Linked DNA regions of Cricetulus griseus. The protein of the gene in region 1 interacts with the protein of each later gene in a pairwise test. Links are inferred from orthologs where the notes say so. Each region holds a gene or a part of one and is shown in the gene's direction. Other genes may lie near its edges.

What was found. The genes of interacting proteins can lie anywhere in the genome.
Region 2: the proteins of Hmbox1 (region 1) and Wt1 interact in binary tests that used the Homo sapiens proteins (3 or more experiments, as listed by UniProt). The link is inferred for Cricetulus griseus from reciprocal best matches to the Homo sapiens genes HMBOX1 and WT1.

What each region holds. Positions count from the first base shown.
Region 1 is NW_023276807.1:219,920,123-219,930,770, reverse strand, and holds part of Hmbox1 (homeobox-containing protein 1), read left to right. Parts: intron 1-6,587; coding exon 6,588-7,064; intron 7,065-10,648. UniProt on the Homo sapiens protein: Binds directly to 5'-TTAGGG-3' repeats in telomeric DNA. Associates with the telomerase complex at sites of active telomere processing and positively regulates telomere elongation.
Region 2 is NC_048599.1:72,497,412-72,508,059, reverse strand, and holds the end of Wt1 (Wilms tumor protein), read left to right. Parts: intron 1-64; exon of another isoform or gene 65-135; intron 136-149; exon of another isoform or gene 150-272; coding exon of another isoform or gene 273-323; intron 324-381; coding exon 382-478; intron 479-3,594; coding exon 3,595-3,745; intron 3,746-5,492; coding exon 5,493-5,582; intron 5,583-6,384; coding exon 6,385-6,477; intron 6,478-8,564; coding exon 8,565-8,686; 3' UTR 8,687-9,949; downstream 9,950-10,648. UniProt on the Homo sapiens protein: Transcription factor that plays an important role in cellular development and cell survival. Recognizes and binds to the DNA sequence 5'-GCG(T/G)GGGCG-3'. Regulates the expression of numerous target genes, including EPO.

The sequences.
Region 1 (10,648 bases):
TCACTTAAATTCCTTCTGTTTTGGTTGACAATTCTGTAATCTAATAGATAGACATTAAGATTGGTTTTCTTTATTATTTAGGTTTTCCTTTGAAGCCCTCACCTGCCCCCCTAGCGCACATACATTGATTCTGTGATTTAGTGCAGTCTCTGGAGGAGATCCAAATGATAGGACTGTCGTCTGAGTTTCTGCTGAGCAGCCCTGTCCTAGGAAAGGCACTTTATCTTTGGGCCTTTGCCCTCCCCACCTACCCTTTTGTTTGCTTGTTTGCCTGCCTGCTGCTTTCTTTGTCTTTTTTCTGTTTCTTTTCTTTTTCTTTCCCATCCTTGTTTTTTCAAGACTGGCTTCTTACTATGTCTAAAATAACTTGGAACTTGCTCTATACCTCAGGTTGGCTTTAAACTCACAAACATTCTGCCTCATCCTTCTGAGTGGTGGGATTGTAGGTGTATACCACCACATCTGGCTCTTTGACACCAAATTTTTATCTCTCTGTTTATAAACTTGAATGTTTTTAATTAGGTCTTTCTTGTATGTGGTAAAAATAAAGAGATAATCAAAGTAGTTTCACAAATCACACAATTCATTGGCACACAAAGAAACCCCTCCCTCCACTTAGGTTCACTGTTCTGTTTGGTTTTTTGAGACGGAGTCTTGTGTAGCCCAGACAGCCCTCAAACTTGCTACATGGCCAAGGGTAACCCTGAACTCTCAATCCCTCTGCCTCAGCCTTTTGTGTCACCACACTTGGAAAGGTTTATAGTTCTTGAGGAGTGGGTAAAATGTGAACAAACCTCAGAGGACTGTCCTTAATGTACAGTTGCGGCATATCTTAACTGCACAGTGAGTTCCTAAATTATTGAAGCTTAGTTGTTCAGTTAGTGTATAACTGGTTTCTGTGGGAAGTAAGGTACCAGGTGTACCTTTACAGTAGTGATAATGTCATTTGATCTTCACAGTAGAGGTCCCTGAAGTCATGAAGGACACATAGAGATTACCTTGATTGACTGCTGAATGCTTAGCCCCAAACATAACATCTATGTCATCCCCTCCAAGGCCTTCCAAGGCCCAGACATTGAAGAGAGGAAGTAGGACTGTGGGAACCACAGAATAGAGAGGAGTGTGGTGGGGTGCTGTTTTCTGTGACATTAACACAGTAGTCAGGGCATTGTATATATACATTATTGTCACACTTTTTTTTAAGTAATTCGTTTAATTAAAATAAAAGCAAAATATTAAAGAATGTATTGCCAAATGAAAACAGCAATGAGGATTTTGTTTTGTTTTTTTGTTTTTCTTTTTTTAAAATTTATTTCATTTGCATTGGTGTTTTGCCTACATGTATGTCTGTGTGAGAGGGTCAGATTTTGGAGTTACAGACAGTTGTTAGCTGCCATGTGGTTACTGGGAATTAAACCCAGGCCCTCTGGAAGAGCAGTCAGTGCTCCTAACCACTGAGCTATCTCTCCAGCCCCTTTTCTTTCTTTTTTAGCACTTGATGGCTTAGGGCACTGCTGATACTAGTAGGCAAGTGAAACTGCAAAGTCTTCAAAATGTCTGTCAAACGTAAAGTTTTTGAAGGCTAGTACTTCTAGTCAGCAACTTACTAGAGGACCTGGGGAGGTTTAATTTAACATTCTCAAAAGTAGGGAGGGTTCTCAAGTGGATGGGTATTGACTCCTGATCCTTATGCACAGGACTCTGATGAGATTTAATATTCTCTGGCCTATAATCTCAGTACTTGGGACACCAAGGCAGAAGGAGCTTGTGTTCAAGACCAGCCTGAGCTTTGTAGCAAGGCTCTGTCTCATGGTCTGTAGTCATAGACTATTCTTAGGCTTTAGTCAGTTTACCTAATAATTTGAATTATAGAATCATTTTACTCTACTCAAAAGTTCAGTTCCCTGTAAAACATTCTTACTTACTCTTACATGTAATTTTCTTATTTTGAAGCCGCTTCTTCAATGGTAGTAATAACCAAGAAGGGTTTATGTATATAAATAAGAAGGGCCTGGGATGTTTGATTCCTACTACAGTGATCATACAAAGCAAAATGGTTCTTCCTAGTCATTCTGGACACATAGAAACAGTAGAAATAATCCGGGAGAAAACTTTTGTTTGCCAGAAATACTTAACTGTTGATACTTTACAGTTCGTATAGTTTTTTTTGCCCCTTTGATATCAGTGCTAGTTAATCCTTTCTGGATGCTTTAGCTAGACTCTTCTGCTCTCCGTCTTTGGAATATCATTTATAATGGTATATCCCAGGCCTTGTGGCTTATCTAGAAAAGTTTTAGGTGTATTGCAAAATATGGTTAATATCCCAAAATGTACTGTGGTCTTACAGTATTAGTTTAGGAATTGAGCTGTAAGTCCTGACCTGAATTGTTCTTTTCTATTCTAATCTTTATCTGTATTATTCAAGTGTCAAAATTGTTATATTATTTTCAATTACTGTTGGCTGGAGCCTGCATTCAAATCAGTAATTTAAAGCAAAACTTCCCCTTATCCTGTGAGTGATCATTGTGCTTGAGAAAAATAATGTAGCCCCTCCATCTCATCTTCCTTTGTCCTGTAATGATTGCTGGCATTATGGACCTAGATGACCTTTACAGGTCATGTGCTGCTGTTATTTTATGAAGCTGTGCTTACACTCGGAAAATTATGAGAAGTACAAATGGAAAATGGCATAACACTTCCCATCGTGTGGATTGATGCACGGCATAGTATTCTCAATATCCACGAGAGCTTCTAATCACTTGAGTGTTTTTGTTTTTCTTGGTAACATACTGTATTTTCAATGTCATGTGCACAATGTGATCCTGCTCAAGATGCCAGTATCCTTTTCCTCTAAGTCACTCGTTTGATCCTGGCAACTGAGACCTCTGTTGTAGCTCTCTTGGCAGCAGGGGCTGCTCTTGGTACAAATTACAGACATCCTATTTAAACACAGTGAATAATAAAGGGAAGTTGTTTGTTTCACAAAACGAAAGACGACCAAGGTTTAAGTGGCTTAAGAATTACAGGGACAACAAGAGGATGCTGCAAGGCTTTCCTCTTGTTCTCTGCAATTTTTTTGGTCACCTGCTTTATTCTCCCTGCAACTCCTGCTGCACGAAAGACTTCCTGTGGCTTAGAACAGTTAAACTTACTGTCCATCTTACTGTAGTATAAGGAGAACATTTTAAAGAGAGCCAACTTTCAATTCCTATGGCAGCCTGTTCACCAGAAGTTGATTTCTGTGAAGAGCTGACCCAAGAACACATGATTAGGTCTTATGGGCAATCAAAGTAATAGGGGGACCCTGTTTCCTTCCTTTTGATACTTGAATAAAAATGTTTTTCTAGTCTTAGTGGATCCTAAATGGTATAAAATATTTCAGGTACTGTGAAGTTTTATGCTAATAGCCAGTGTTGTATCACAGAGGCTTGAAGAGCAGTACATGACTTACGGTCTGCGCTGAGTGAACACGATAGGAAAGCATGGTTAACTTTGGTGCACATAGATAAAATAGTTCTTAAAGTTAGGCATCTAAGGGAAGAACAGTTTTCCAAATACTTTGATTGGATGAGGACTGAAGATAACAAAACAGGCCTTTTATTTTCAAAGAAAAGTAACTATGAAGATAAAAAAATAATTATGAGGGGAATTGGAATTTTCGAAGCCAGTAAATTCAGGGGTAAATTATTTTGGCTTGGCAACCATTTAAAGAAAAAAAAAAAAAGGAGCCAGAGAAGTATCTCAGTAAACAAACAAAAAAAGAGCCAGACAGAGGTGGTACATGCCTGTAATCCCAGCACTTGGGAGGCAGAGGCAGGCTGATCTCTGTGAGTTCAAGACCAACCCTGGTCTGCAGAGTTAGTTCCAGGACAGGCTCTAAACCAAAGCTACAGAGAAACTCTGCCTTAAAAAACCAAAACAAAACACAAACAAGAATGTGAACTGTTATTAAAGACTACTTAAGTTTTATTTTACGACAGGTCTCACTAAATTACAACATGGCCTTGAACTCGGTCTGTTTTCCAGATGGTCTCTGAAAGTTGTTATCTTTGTACCACCAGGGTGGCCTTTGACTTCCTAAAAGGTACAAAGGTATCCTAAGCCTCAGTTTCCTTAACATAATAACATAACATAGTTCATAACATAATATTAAAACAAAACAAATAAATCGTATCTATTACAGAGACTCACTATGAGGACTAGGCGAGGTTATGTTATGTACTATATGAAATTCTTGCCCAACTTCTTAGTAAAAGTGACTGTTCAATTGGATTTTTCTTTCATGGAGAAGGAAATTTCTTGACCACTGTTTCTCTTAGCAATTGTTTATTTGAGGATGTGGTGATATCTTGTTTATACATTAACAAATAAAGCTTGCCTGCAGATCAGAGGGTGGAGCTAGCCACTAGTTAACCATAGAGGTTTGGAGGTCTGTACAGACAGACAGGAAGTGATATGGCTGGGGAGAGAGGAATATGAGGTAGGAGAAAACAGGAACTCTGTCTCTTTAGGATCAGGAGTTAGCAAGGTAAGAGTTGGCTGTGACTTGCTCTTTTCTCTCTCTGATCTTTCAGCATTTGCCCTGATATCTCATCTGGCTATGGGCATTTATTTATTTATTTATTTATTTATTTATTTATTTATTTATTTATTTATTTATGTTCTTTGAGACAGAGTTTCTCTGTGTAGTTTTGGGCCTATCCTGGTACTCGCTCTGGGGACCAGGCTGGCCTCAAACTCACAGAGATCCTCCTGCCTCTGCCTTCCCAAGTGCTGGGATTAAAGACATGCGCCACCAATGCCCGGCTATGGGCTTTTATTATTAAGACCTATTAGAACTCATGCTTCATGAAAGCTGATCCATGCCACATACATCTGTCACTAGAAAATACTATTAAAATAAAGATGGTTATCACTTTCAGAAATCCTGAATTCAAAAGTCTGATTTTAGGGGTCGGAGAGATGACTCAGCAGTTGAGAGCTCTTCATGTGTTTCCAGAAGCCCCAGGTTGTGTTTTCAGCCTCCACAGGACAACTTACAAAGCTGTTTGTTAACTCCAATTCCAGGACACCCACTGCCCTCTTCTGGCTGCTTCTGCACTGCATGCATAGGGATATGTAGACTACCACTCAACACAAAATAATAAAGACAAATATGTAAATCTTTTTTAAAGTCAGCTTTTAGTTTTAAAAAAAGTAATTCAAGGAGAAACCATTTTTTGATGTGGCTAATGTCTTAAACAAAATATTAAGTTTCTCTCTTAAGAAAACATTTTCTGGCTCTTCTCTCTTTTCGCTTCTCTCTCTGCCTCTTTCTCTGCCTCTCCTCTCTTCTATTTCTCACTCACTCGCTCTCTGTCATATAATAAATTGGTTAATGTATAAAGAAAAAGAAAATATTTCCTGGTGTGTGATATTGTCTTGTTCTAGTTGAGGTGGAAACATGTAGAACCAATTTTCAAGATACAGATAGCTCTAGTTGGCTGAACACATGAGGGATCCACTCAGAGAGCTCAATGAGAAGCTCACGAGACTGCTAAGAAGTAGAAGCAGTGCTTGGTTTGTTGTTGTGTGTGCTGCTCTTATCCTCCACTAAAGTTGCCAGTGGTGACACATGCCTCAGTCCCAGCACTCAGGAAGCAGAGGTAGGCAGATATCTGTGAGTTTGAGGCCAGCCTGGTCTACAAAACTACAAAGAGAAACCCTGTCTCAAAAAAGAAATGTTCTCGTTACTAGTATTCACTTAGACTCAGCCAAGCAGTCTGAACATTTTTCACTATACGACCTAAGAGTTCTTTTCAGTTTTACTGATATTTTGAAAAGCAAGATAAACTTTTTTCCAGCAATTTCCCACTAATATGCTAGTATAAAACAATATGTTTCAAAATTGAAAAAATTGTCCATTATCACATAGTCTGAGCCTAATGCACTATATGTATTTTACCTTATGAATTGGTATCCTGATATAATTAACATTTTGCTTCCAAAGTTTGGTTGGTTACCAAAACTGAAAAACATAAACTTTATCCCATTATAAGTTGGGTTTTATGTTATAACTGATGCACTCTACTAAACTCAGAATCTGTACCAATCCAAGTCACAACAAAAAAGTCTGATAGGACTCATGTCTTTTTTCTTTTGTTATTATTGTTAGTGTGTGTTGTTGTTATTGTTGGTGTGTGGGCATGTGTATATGTGTATACTAATATGTATATGAATGCATGTGGAGGCCAGAAGTGGACATTGGGTGTCTTCATCAGTTGCTCTCCACCTTATTTTTTGAGATAGGTTCTCTCACTGAAACCACAGCTCACTGATTTGCTTGACTGACCCCAAAGATCTTGTGTTCACCTCTCTAATGCTAGAACTCCTGTCATGTGCTGCTGCTCTCAGCTTTTGCATTGGTGCAAGAGGTTGAACTTAGGTACCCCTGCTTACACAACAAACACTTGACTGAGCTATCTCCCTATCCCGATGGTGCTCAGATCAAGCTTCTTCTGCTGAGGATTCTTGATGGGGAAATGGTTTTGTTAGATGACAATAAAGGCACTTCATTTTTATCCTTTTCTCCCCTCCCTCCCCCCCAGTTTGCTGGAAACCATGTCTCACTATACAGATGAACCCAGATTTACCATAGAACAGATAGATCTACTCCAACGTCTTCGGCGTACTGGGATGACCAAACATGAAATTCTCCATGCATTAGAAACTTTGGACCGTCTTGATCAAGAACATAGTGATAAGTTTGGAAGGAGGTCCAGCTACGGGGGAAGCTCATATGGGAACAGTACCAACAATGTTCCAGCATCTTCCTCTACAGCCACAGCTTCCACGCAGACCCAGCACTCCGGAATGTCCCCATCACCCAGCAACAGTTATGATACCTCCCCACAGCCTTGCACTACCAATCAAAATGGGAGGGAGAACAACGATCGATTGTCCACATCCAATGGGAAGATGTCGCCATCTCGCTACCATGTAAACAGCATGGGTCAGAGGTCATATAGCTTTGAAGCCTCAGAAGAGGACCTAGATGTAGATGATAAAGTGGAGGAATTAATGAGGTTAGTTGCTTTGCCTATTCTGAATTCCCCTAAAACATCTATGTTTTTAAGATTGTGTTTAAATAATAGCCTGTATTTCAGAAACTTAACAATAAGAACAGTGGTTTCTCCCTTCCTTCTTTGGAAATGAAAGTAAAACTTGAAATTGTGGTTTTAGATCAGATTTTTTTTTTTTTTTCTTTTCTACTTCAGCCCTTTCATTGCATGATGAGGCTTTTCTAGTCTCTTGATTTGTCAAAGGGCTTTCTCTGTTTATGGTTTTAGCAGTTTCTGACTGACCGAAGTTCATTTAATCCAATCCTTAGTCCTTCATTGTAAATATTTTTCTCTGAGTGATAAGATAAATTTACCATGATGTAGAATACATGCACTCTTCATTTTTCCTTGCACCATTTCAATCAGAGCAACAATTTGAGCAACTGTTGGGTCACAAGTAATTTTCATAAGAAACATAGATACCATCCTACCCTTAAAAGGCTGAAGTTCTAATTTTAGCAATAGATGCAGCACCCACATGGACTCCATACCTTATCAGTTGCCAAGTAAGCATGTACACTTAGAGTTTAAACTCAAAGAAAAAAGCCTACTTTCAACTAAGGTCATCAAGACTTTGTAGCAGACCTGGTTCACTTTGAGGGTAGCAGACATGTGTTTTCCATGCTGTGTCCCAAACTAGGAACTTCCTTTAGCACATGGTGTGGGCTCAGTATGTTAGATGAGTAGATAAATTTGTCATAAACCATAAGGGTATCCTATTTTGAATTAAGGATTTGGAGCTGGTTCATGGGGAAAAGGCGTTTGCTGCCAAGCCAGAGGACATGAGTTCCATCCCTGGAACCCACACAGTGGAAGGAGAGAACCAACTCCCCAAAGTTATCCTTTGATTATAAGCATGCCAACACACAAATACTCCTGCACATATATACATACAGTCAATAAGAGAAGTTTTTGATTTTTTTAAAATAAAAATTGAAATATACATATTTTATTTCTTAAGGAACCAGGAAAAGTATCAAAAAAGGCATGTTTTTAATCTGGTTAAAATGAGCTGAATGTGGTCACTTATGCATGTAACCCCAACATTTGGAAGGGTAAGGCAGGAAGATTACTGTGAGTTCAAGGCTAGCACTTCTAGGCCTATCTGGCTTACAGAGCATGGATCTTTCCAAAAAAGCATCAAAAGAAAAACAATACAAGCCAGGCATTGGTGGCGCATGCCTTTAATCCCAGCACTCGGGAGGCAGAGGCAGGTGGATCTCTGTGAGTTCGAGGCCAGCTTGGTCTACAGAGTGAGTTCCAGGACAGGATCCAAAGCTACACAGAGAAACCCTGCCTTGAAAAACCATAAAAAGAAAAAAGAAAAACAATACAGATGAGGCAGACTTTGGCAAACTTCAGCACACCTTTTCAAAGGCTTCACATTCTACGCTAAGTGATTAGGATTAGGGTGCTGTTACAGGTCTTTACAAACAGAAACAACAAAAGCATTGTTTTTAGTATGGTTAGGCTGTTGTGTAAAAAATGATTGCTTTGAGCTGCAGAGATGGACTCCTTGGTTAAAAGTACTTGTTCTTGCAGGAAACCTGAGTTTGTTGCCCTGTACCCACTTGATAGTTCACAGCCATCCATAATTCTCATTCTGGGGGGTTCAAAACCCTCTTCTGACCTCTGCAGGCCCCAGGCATGCATATGGTACACCTATGTACATGCAAGCAAAACACTCATACCCAAAAAATAGCCTAAAAAAATTTTAAAGATTGAGAGGTTGTAGATAAATTAGTTACAGTTGATAATGAACAGAATTGTAGACTTAACAGAAACAAAAATAAAAGTTGTAACTGAGTTTTAACTGGTCCTGAAGATTTTCTGACATCAAGACAGAATGACGGTGTCGTGACAGTGCTGTGTGGAGATCCATCCTATGGCACCTCTTGGAGTTGAGGAGACAGCCTTAAACACACGGCCTCTTCTGAGTTTGTTTTCAGGGTTGAGTTGCCACACATGGAGTCCTTGGCTGCAGGGACTGTGGGGTACATGTTATAAAGAGTATCATACCTCAACCACAATCTATGTTAGCAAGCTTTTAGCACTCTGAAATACAAGAGATCAAGAGGCTTTTGGTTTATCTTTGACTATTAACCCAGGTGTTCACAGTTCAGCTGTTGCTAGTGACTTTTTTAGTGCTGAAGACTGAACCCAGGGCTTTATCTTCCACTGAATCACTTCCTTGGCCATAGATGGTTTGGGGAATTTAGCATCTTTCATTGTTCATTTCAAAAAGGAAAACCATTTTGGCAAATAAGTTACTTTATTCATTGAAGTTTCATGAGATTTTAATTATCCTGAATAGAGAAGATAGCAAAATATCATTTATTTGTTCAGGTACTAGCTTGTTTTGTTTGTGTACACTCAGTTGGGTACAGTCTCACAGACGTAACGTGTGTTTCACTTGTGTGCTCCTAATTGTTGTGTAGTTATTAGGACTCTTTCTTCTTCCCTTCCTCTGCTTCTTGCTCAGAATAGCTCCTTTGACATTTAGCTAGCTAGGGTCCTCTAGACCTGGCACCCTTGTTCCTCCACAATTGGGCGTTCTCACATTCCAACTTTGCTCATGTGTGCCCCTTCTCAACCTTTTCAAGTTTGCAGAGGGCAATCCTTCTTAGGACACAGGGAGAAGTGACTGAATAACTGCATACATGACGTTTGCAGTCCCACCAGCTATGCTGGGTGCTTGATCAGTGAAACTGGGTTCATGAAAATTAGTAATTTGCTCAAGAAAGTTTGATTATTGAGCCTAAATTATATCCCATGTCTTTATTATTGTGTTGCTGGTATGTTTTATTGCTGATATTATTTATGCTTATAGATTAAATAAGGCTTTAGGAAAGGTAATAAATATAATTCTGCAGAAAGTGTGAATGGCCTTACTGGGCTTGCCATTCTCCTTCCCTTGGCATGTCTGCTACTTCAAATCAGTCACTTACTAAACATTGAATTTTTATTGGTGAGATATTAGAGACATTTTCAAACAATAGCTCTTTCTGAGTTTTCTGAATCTGTCTAGTGATATACTGTCCTTTCTGCTTACTCAACATTGGTGACATGACAGTGACCTGGAATTGCTCAGCTCTAGTAGGAAGTGTGGATATCTGAGGGCCTTCCTGCCTCCTGTGTTGCCCACTGCCACAACCTGCAGGTGCTCTGCCCTGAGACATGCTTTGCAGATTTTGTAATCCAGTGAATCCATATTACAGTATATAATCTGAAGGTTTATAATGGAGATTTGTGTGTGTGTGTGTGCAGCTTCATCAGGTTATAACTGTACCCTTGACTATTTGTTAAAGAGTCAGAAATGATCTTTTCTAGTTTTGAATTGGGATCAGAAAAGGAAGAAGAGAGCCACACTAGCATGTAAATTCTCTGTAAGTGGTTGAATGTGCCATTTTAGGGAAGGACTGAAAGCCAACAGTAAAGCCAACTCATTTTACATTAGGACATCTTAAAAGGCCTATCAGTATTTAAGTATATGCATAGAAATGTGTGTCTGCATCTGCTAATGCAATAGACTACAGCAGTGTTTTCCT
Region 2 (10,648 bases), on another chromosome or scaffold:
GTCATCACTTTCTTGGTTCTATCTGGTAAGAACTGAGTCATGAGGTGCTGACAGAACCCCAGTGGACTTCACATGCAGCCTGGAGCATTCTGCTCATTCCTGAGATACTCACACTGTCAGCCTGCTGTTCAGATGGTAAACAACTTTCCCGGGGTGTGCGTCTGCTGTGGCTTTTCTTGGCTTGTCTGAATGAAGCACAGACCCAGACAATTTGCCTCTGGGGGTGACTTTTAGGGGTGGTGGTGGCTGCAAGATGGTAACACATCGGTGTAATGGCCTCTGCTTTCACCGAGCTCCTTTCCAGAGTGACCCTGTGGAAGAAGGTAAGACTTTGTATTTCCAAAAGGTGGCCCTGAACCAACTTCAACCTTTTGTTTGCAGCCACGGCACAGGGTATGAGAGTGAGAACCACACAACCCCCATCCTCTGTGGTGCCCAGTACAGAATACACACCCATGGTGTCTTCCGAGGCATTCAGGTGAGTGCCCGGATGCCCAGCCAAAGGCTGCCTTCACTGACTCTTCCTCTGCTCATCTGCCCTGCAGCGTCTGCTGCTGGACCACCTGGCCCTGGCAAGGGTTTGTCACCAGAGATGCTCCTCCTTTCACTCCACCCCGGCAGAGATGCTGCCTTGTCTAACTGCCACCAAGAGACTTCTTGCACAATCCCATCCTTCCTCTTTTATTATTAGTTCTGCTTCTCCACAGTGGGTGGTACAATTGCATGTGGGCCATATGCATTTGAATTAATGATCTGAACCCTTGACTTCTAAGATTTGATCTGTATTGTAAAGTTCTCAAAGGTAGACTGTCTTGCCAAGTGTTGACAATAGCATCGACAATAGTACCACTTATGACTGGACATGTTCTATGAAGTGAGATTTAGACACAGACTTTAAAAACACTGAGTTTATGTAGCTTCTAGGTTTACACAAAATATGCACAGAAATTATAGTGTTCCTATGTCCTTCTGCTGTCACCTTCACATAATGTTACACTTGTTACAATGGATGTTGGTGTATTATTGGTAACTGAATTGCTTTGTTGTATAGACCTATGGGTTTTGATACACGTAGAATGCCATTTATTATTATTATTATTATTATTATTATTATTATTATATGGAGTAGTTTACTGTTTCAAAAATGCTCATACTCCACCACCTGTACATCATGCCCTTTTCCAGTCCCTCTCTATTCCCAACAGTCACTGTCCCTTTCTCACACTGCTGGCTACTCCATTTCATTTTCAGGCTAACTTCTTTGACTTAGTAATGTGTGTTTATGATTCCATTACATGGTCTTTGTTCTCTGATATGGCCCCGCTGCAAGCTTAAGAGGTAGACATTTTCTAGTTGGGGAAACTGAAGAGAGAAGACAAGGGGCTTGTCTAAAACCACATAGTAAGTGGGGGCTGAGATTTGTAATATATATTTTATTAGACTCCACAATTTTTATTTTGCTTCTTAATATTGTTTATTAGAGGAGATGAAATAATATTGTTCGTTAGAAGAAACAGGAGAGAGAGGTCTTCCGGGTGAACAAAGAATCTCAGAGAATGTAGGTTATTCAGGGGAGACTCCACCCCCATCCCAAACCTCTTGTGGGTAGTCAGAACCACAATTACCAAGGACTCACATCTGTGACTTACAAACCTGACTCAGTGACTGCCACAAAAGAAGTAGCTAGAGTATCCTTTCAAGGGAGGTTAAGACCCAAAAATAAGTTGCATAAGGGCTGGCCTCTATGTGAATGGGCAAGGAGCTCCACTTCATGGCATTCAGTGTGCTCTGTCATCCCAAGTCTTTCCATGGTGAGAAATAAACAAGTCACAGAAATGTGGAGATGTGACAGAGTTTCATCTGAGTGTCTCACAACAGACATCATCAGCACCTTCGCCAGACTGCACACTGACAGTAGTAGCTGTTTTTCAGTCTTAGTCCTACATAGTCTTCATCTAGGATGAGAAGAGATGAAAGAGGCTTAATACACCTGCCTTCTCACCAGATGCAGTTTATCAGATCCACTGTCAGGGCCTTTAGTAGATGCCACACCCTATATATGTTTCCCTACTTACTCTTTTTCTTGTAGAATATGACAAACCGCTGGCCTACCATTTACTTGTATCCCACCATTAACCCTAGGAGAAAGGCAAATGGTTGACATACTGTGACATACCGATACAGTATTTATGGTATGACACTACAGAACTTTTTCTTACAAAAAAGAAAGTGCCCTGCTAGGGCAAGGCAAGTGAACTAGGAACAAGAATGTGAGTGGGTAGATTAGAAGACTAATGACATAGGAAGTTATTAAGAACAGTGGTTCTCAACCCTTGGGTTTACATATCAGACATTTACACTATGAATCATAACAGTAGCAAAATTATAGTTATGAAGTAGCAATGAAAATAATTTTATGGCTTCGGGTAACCACAGCATGAGAAACTGCATTAAAGGGTTGTAGCATTAGGAAGGTTGAGAACAACTGGCTTAGTGGATGTTCCAGATCTTTATACCATCACAGATGTGTTCCTGTGTCAGCAGATCATCTCTTTGGTCCTGGTGGGCACACCTGTAATTGAATAAGGAGGAATCATTACTGCTATCCAGGAATCACTGAGCCTGAGGGCAAGAAAAGAGATTTGCCTCCCTTGCTAGATGACAGGGACCAGTAGGTGTCTCGGGAAGGACATGCAAAGAGCACAGAAGGCAGATAGCTTCCAGTGTTTTCCTGTGTCACTGTTAAAGATCACACTGACTGTATTACAGCATTCTGGTGGATTCAGAGGCCCCAAACCCAGAGACTTCTTTATTTACTTCTATTTACATGTGAATCTCAGGTCAGTTTGGGCCTCACTCAGTGTCTCATGTCTTTCTCTGCTAAGAACTTTCTTATCCATTTCCTCCCTCCCTCCCTCCCTCCCTCCCTCCCTCCCTCCCTCCCTCCCTCCCTCTCCTCCCTCTCCCCTCCTTCTTTCTTTCTTTCTTTCTTTCTTTCTTTCTTTCTTTCTTTCTTTCTTTCTTTCTTTCTTTCTTTTGATGTTTTTGAGACAGAGTTTCTCTGTGTAGCTTTGTAGACCAGGCTGGCCTTGAACTCACAGAGATCCACTGACTCCGCCTCCCGAGTGCGGAGATTAAAGGTATGCACCACCACCACCCAGCTCTTATCCATTTTCTCATTGAGTCCATAATCACATGGCCAAGTCTCTAATTGGGAAGGGCATACATACAGTCTGGGACTCTGGATTCTAGACCTCACAGTCTCAAGTGAGAGATAGATTGGGAACTTCTCCTGACACTAATGTTTCTTCTCTAGAGGTTCTATGCTGGGGACCCCAAAGAGGTTTCATTTCAAATCCAAGTTCTGGCGATCAGCAGTAATGACATCAGAACACTGCATCATAGAGTTTCCTATCTATCATCAATTAGTGATGTCTGCCACAGGTTTCTAGGGTATGGAGGCAAACACTTTTTGGTCTCATGCCATACCTGCCTTCTCTTCTTTAGATATATTTCAGTGCTCAGCTTCCCATGGGACTAATATGAATGTTCACATGTGGCAAGGCCTCCATTCTTCTTATATTTTGCCTGCAGGATGTACGACGTGTGTCTGGAGTGGCCCCAACTCTTGTCCGCTCAGCATCTGAGACCAGTGAGAAACGTCCTTTCATGTGTGCCTACCCGGGCTGCAATAAGAGATATTTTAAGCTGTCCCACTTACAGATGCACAGCCGGAAGCACACTGGTAAGTGTGTCCACTGTCCAGACTCGAGTAATGGTGGTTCATGAACTCTCATTCTGGACTCTCACACTGCTAAGGACACAGGTGACTTGTGGGATGGAAGGCTGGCACTTTCAAAGGTCAGGCTACAGTGGCCAAAGCTGCAGGGTTGTTTGCATGAGGGTTTCCCATCTTTTATTAGTGAAATCAGTAAGCAGTCTTCAGGAAAGCAGAACAGGGTGGTGGAAAGCAAATGCCATAGAAGAAAAATGACATGAGTTTGAAAGTTGTATTCACCGCCAACTGGTGAGACCTTGAGCCAATTGCTCAACGTCCCTTTGAACTCCAAGTACTTTGTATGGACAATGAAGATGATAGTGCCTACACTGTGCAATTCTTAAGCCTAGAGGAAAAGGAATCAAATTATACTACAAGAGTTGTAGCATAGGACCCTGTGTCTCTAGGCCTGAATGAAAGGTAGCGTGATTTCTGAGGGACTATTAGCATCTTTAGCAGGGAAGACACATCTGGGATAGTACAATCAGATGGTTCAGAGCATGAAGGACAAAGTCACCATAAACCTCGAAGAGTAGGTTCAAATATACACTTAGATGTTCTGGAATTAATTCTGGAGTAAAGAAGGCCATTAAGTTTCCAAGCCTTAAGGCCCATGCCCACCTTTTCTTGTCAGGTTACACTTCCTGAAGGTTCCACCACCTCTCAAAATGGCACTATGAGCCTGAGACCAACACATCAAATGGATGATGGTTTATATTCAAACCATAAGATAGCATTGGCATTTGTGAGGGGTATGCGAGTAACACTTTGATGGGTAGGAATGGGAGCATAAGATGAAGGGTGTTGAGTGAGGAGGGCTCAGGATGGTGAGATCAGCTACACCAGACACATGGAAAGACCAGGGAAGCATCAGAGGTCCTGAGCAGGAAAGGCAACTTGGAGCTGTCCATCAAAGGACAGAATCCACTGACCTCCGAGTAGCTTGCTCTCTGTCCCAGAATCCAGTGACTCAGAATTCCAGGAGGTGGGAACACTCGCAGAAGCTCAGTGCACTCCGGGGGCTATTCTGTCATGTTTGGCTGAAGTTTTCCTTGGCCACAGGGGTGTGGCCCTTCTTCTCTGAGTCCAGAGTTGCACAACCCTACTGCTGACTCGTTGCAGATTAAAGGACAACAGTCTTGCTAAATGCATCTACTTCTGATTTAATTGGGGTGTCTCACCACCATGGAGTCATTTATGTTGGACTCCATGGTGTCAGAGAACAGGAAGTCAGTAGCAGAGAGCACCAAATATTCAGGCTGTAAAACATGAAACACTTAATTCACATGGTCAGTCTCAAGGCACATCTATCCAAAATTCTATCTCAGATTCAACCAAGGAGTCATAACTTTTTTCTTTTCTTTTTTTCCTTTTTAAAATAGTCCCTGCTAATATATGTGTTTTTTGAGCATTGCCTCAGTGTGAGGCACCAGTCTTGCCCGCTACAGGGATGGTCTGGTCTAATCTGTTCATGAACCCTTGGACAGTGCCTCAGCCAACATCCTAAATGCCAGAGTATCCTTCTTCCCTACTCCCTGTGTCCATGGACTTGTGTGTAAGTGGGATTTCATCTTCCTGGAAGTCTATAGTGCTACCCTAACAAACTCCCCTGAAATGCTTTGGGAATTTTGGGATCCCTTCATCTGCATTTAGGAGGACTTGCCTGTCCGATTTCCAGCTTTGTACTCAGAAACAACATATGTCTTTCCCTAAGGTGAGAAACCATACCAGTGTGACTTCAAGGACTGTGAGAGAAGGTTTTCTCGCTCAGACCAGCTCAAAAGACACCAAAGGAGACACACAGGTTTGTAGGTTAACTTCTCATTGCCAGAAGTCACAAGCCCTTCGGTTAGAGTTGACTTTGTGCTGTCTTCTCTGTAGAACACGGATGAGAGGGTACTCTATCTATCTATCTGTTTAATTTTCCCAACTTTCTTCCCCTCATATGGAGACTTGTCTTTTGAAAAGGAAAGGGGCTGTGGAAATGATAGCTCAGCAGTTAAGAGCACATGTTCTTCAAGAGGACTCAGGTTCAGTTCCCAGCATCCACAACAGGCAGTGTGTGTAACCATAGCTCCAGAGTATCTGACACTCTCTTCTGGCCTCCAAGGGCACTGTAAACACATGATATACAGTCACACAGAGACACACATAAATGATAAAAAATTAAGTCTTTCTTTACAAAGGAGAAAGAGAAAAGAAAGGAAATGGTTCACATTTCTTAGGAGAACTACAGCACAAGGGAGATGCCACAGCAGGCTGGTGGTCCACTGATGTTCAGTTAGGAGCCAGGATGAAGAAGAGAAGCTGGCTTGCAGTGATCCACTTTCCTCAGTCTCTAACACTTGTCTGCTGGTGAGAACTGGATGTTGGTGGTTAGGAAATGTTTTTTTCCCAAGTCAGGAGCAGCACCTGGAGGTTGCTGACCAGAATCAGGTGACTTCTGCTGGGCCTGGGGATCAAGGAAATGTGAGGTCCAGGTAGACACAGACCTTGCCGATGTGATGGATATGCCAGGCTTCTCAAGCTGCCAGGAAGCTGGCCTTATGTGTCTCACTATGCCCCACATTGTTAGGGCCGAGGCTAGACCTTCTCTGTCCGTTTAGGTGTGAAACCATTCCAGTGTAAAACTTGTCAGCGAAAGTTTTCCCGGTCCGACCACCTGAAGACCCACACCAGGACTCATACAGGTAAAACAAGTGCGTAAACTTTTCTTCACATTTATTTTTCATTATTTTTAAGATACTGTTGAATGAAACTGTAATGAGAGTCATAGAAAAATTCTAGAGTTGCAATTCCATTTAGAGAATGTCTAGCTATCTTTACATGATAAATGATAACATTTTTCAAATAAAGGGCCAGAGAGCACTGAGTAGAAAAGAGATGGGAGGAGAAAGTCCAATGGGCTCAGAACAAAGGCAGGAAGATAAGTTCATCCCCACCATCCCCAGTTTGCTGTATTCTGGTCAACCCTATAGCGTGACCAGAAATTCAAGATATTCTATTCTCCTGAGAGCTCATGTTTCACAGTTCTGATTGGAACGTGTTTACATAAAGCTCCACAAGAATTCTAGGTTTCTTCCAGTTTAACAGAAACTCATGGACATACTTCTTTTATACTAGCACAGAGAGGAGAATGGGGCATTGGCATAGTGACTGGCTGCTGAAGCACTGTCCACAAGGCTGATGAAATTCGTAGTAAAAACTGCCCTTGTGGCATATGAGCTTCCTTAGAAAGCAGAACTGTCTCATAGGTTAGCTCTTCATCTTTCCAGCATCGTAGGAACTAGAGCAGGGAGGTGTTTTTAGTCCTCATTTAACAGATGAGCCTATAATGGGTAGTGATCAAATGATTTACCCAGAGCCTCAAAACAACTGGATGGCAATCTCAGTGGTCACTGTTCTGGTCCCACCTCATCCTTATTGTTCTTTCTCTTGGAGAATAAACATGTGCCCAAATAGCCATCCTGGGAAGCCAGGGAATTGAGGAGAGAGACAGAATAATAGCCAAGCTGAGTGCCACTGGAGGGACCAGTATGAGAAAGAGCTGAAAAGTACCCATGAGGAGGTGAAAGTGGCAGGCAGGAACCAGATCAGGAAAAGCAGATGGACAGTGAGTAGGAGGTGAGAAGGCCATGGCAGTCTTCAGCACAGACAGGTTATACCTTAGGATACCGTCAAAGCACCGTGCCCCAGGTTGACAAGATATAAGTCTCAGTCTCCTTCAGGTATTTTTGACATATTGCCTTTTAGTCCCAAACTCATAGTCTGGAGATTGTTCCTGCACACCTCATTGTCTGCAAACCTGTGCCACCAACAAACTACTTAATGCCACCCAGTCTGGCCTCAAAACACCACATCTCTTGGGACATTTCTTATTGGAACCATCAGTATCCTAGGAAGACCCTCCAGGTGGCACAGGGCTTAGCCCCTGTGGCATTTTCCTCAGCAAGCCCTAAGGGGTGTGACATAGGGATGAGTGTAGGCTTCAGGATTAGACATGCCTGGGTTTGAATCCTGCCTGGCTCTGTCTGCAATAGCCATGCAACTTTGTCTGAGAGTGAAGATAACATTTCTTTGTGAGGCTGTTTTAAGAAACATACAAGGCATTACATACAAGATATCTATTGTCTTTAATGAGAGTGCCTAAGATGGAGCAGTTTTAATCATTTGGTGGAACTAATGTTGCAACCAGAATCTTGTCTCTAACACAGGCTTGTTCTGAGTCATCATTTGCACTAAAAAGAAGCAAATAGGATACAAACTGGTAGCCATGATTTACTTTAAATCATCTATGTGGAGATAATAAAGCTTCAGTCCCAGATCTATTGATGACCAGTCATCAGTCAATGGTATCTAGGATAGTGATCCAGAGTAGCCATCAATCAACAGTATCCAGGGTGATGGTTCAGACCTTTGCAGCCAGCTCCCACCTAGACAGCAATGGGGAAACATTTGCACAGGTCACAGAGTGTCCTTTGAGATGAGACAAAGTTTCCTAAACCCCCTTAATTTATGAGTTGCTTAGAGATTTCCACAAACTAGATTTCTCTCTCATTTCCCAAGTTTTCTATTTTATTATGCTTATAGTGCTTCTGGTTTTCAAGCCCTCAAAAGGCATTGCTAATCCCAGGCTGCCAGTGAAGAGCCAGTTGGTTAGCTTAGGGAATGACCCAGGGGAGTCCAGGGCGGGTGTCTTATGGTGATTTAGCTCGGGCCTTTGATAGTTGAACCTGTGCCCAGTCACTCTGCTGCAAGTGTCTCTAACTGGCAATTGTGTCAACAGGTGAAAAGCCCTTCAGCTGTCGGTGGCACAGTTGTCAGAAAAAGTTTGCTCGGTCAGACGAATTAGTCCGCCATCACAACATGCACCAGAGAAACATGACCAAACTCCAGCTGGCGCTTTGAGGGGTCCGACCGGGGGACAATTCAGCATCCCAGGCAGGACAGTGTGCAAACAGCTTCCAAATCTGATTTTGAAATTCCTCCCCACTCACCTACAAAATGACTTGCTGGGGGATCGTCACCCAATTTCCAAGACAGCACACGAGTTTGGCTATACCCTGTCAGGTTTGCTGGAAGGAGACTGTGCTCCACCTACTCTTGTCTAACTCATAGGCCTGAAAAAGTGGCTCAAGATGTCTTGTTAGTTGAAAGCACGTTGCCATTGGGTCTGAGTTTTCCACTGTTAGAAGAACCATTGTTGCTAATGTCCCCCTACCTTCCTCTTCTCCTTTATGCACATTTTCACCAGGACTGCAGCAATTGTTCCATTTTCCATCATGGGATATTTATAGGCCAGGGCATGTGTATGTGTCTGCTAATGTAAACTTTGTCATGGTTCCCATTTACTAACAGCCCTAGAAAGAAATAAATCAGAGAGCAAGTCACCTGGGGCAAATATCACCCAGAATTCCAGAGGTCAGGCTGCAAACCTGGAATCCTGGAAGGCAGGAAGTAATTCTGCCAGGCAACTTTTAAAGCTCATAGGTTTCAAGTAACTGAATAGTGGATTAGAATTAACCAGAACCTCTGAGTAGAAACCTGAAGTTGTCTTCCTGTTCAGCTACTCATTGTTAACATTAGCACCATGCTATGAAATAATGATTAAAGAGCAGATTTTTTTAAACAATGTTTTTGATTTATTTTTTAGTTGTAATTAGGTACATCTTCAGAGATGTGCTTTCCTTTTCATGCAAAGGAAGTGGAAGAGTTCATATCTATCATCTGGGGTGTCTTTAGAGTGTAAAGACCACACTGGCTATGTGGCTTCAAGTTGTAAAAATTAAAATGACTTTAAAAGAAACTAGGGGCTGGTCCAGGATCTTCGCCGGTAAGACTGTTCTTAAGTAACTTAAGTATCTTTGACTCTGCAAGTATGTGGGAAAAAAAGATATATTATTGTGAGGAAATCCATTGTTTAAAGGTGTGTGTGTGTTGTTGTTGTTGTTTTTTTAAAGGGAGGGAGTTTATTATTTACTGTTGCTTGAAATACTGTGTAAATATGTATGTATATATATATGATGTGCTCTTTGTCAACTAAAATTAGGAGGTGTATGGATATTAGATACATCACTGTGTGGATGCCAATCTTACAGTGTATTGATGATAATACTAAAAATGTAACCTTCATTTTTTTTCACTTGGCTGTCAATTAAAGTCTATTCAAAAAGAAAATGCAGGAGTGTATTGGTTGTCTTGTGTTCGAATCTCAAGGCCAGTTGAACTTCTTTTAAACAGGCAATCTTCGATCAACACTGACAGTTATCAGTAATTGCCCATCAAGACCCCTGACCACAGTTGGCTTCTTTCTGTTGGGCTTTGGAAATGATCTATCTTCAGAGTAGCCGGGGGCCACCTCTACACAGCACCATGAAGAGATTGCCCTTGTGGGATGGTTGGGTGGCTTGCTCATGGGGTGGTGGGTATTGTGGTTCAAGACTTATTTTAATCAAATCATCACTGTATCATGTCCAGACCAACAGAAGATATCTAACCCTTTTAAAAAGTTCACTGATACCTTCCCAGTATCAGGAGGCAGAAGCTGAGCATCTAGTCCAACTGAATTTACAACTGAAGCTGCTATGATTCATCCCAGCAGGTGGGAAACTGCTTAGACTCCCTAGGGCAGCCGAGTGTGAAAGCAAAGAGCTACACTCTCTGTGACCTGAAAACCCTCTTTCTGGTTCTGGTGGATGGTTTTCGATGGTAGGGCATGCATTTGTTCTGCCTCGCTCAGCTCCATTATCTTAGATCTTGCAAGCATTCCAGGTTTAACTTCTTCATTTAGAAGGATCTTAAGCACAAAGGAGCTTAGCCTTGGAGACTCTTTGCAGCTCAAAGTCAGGAAAACCTAAAAGCGGGGTCTGG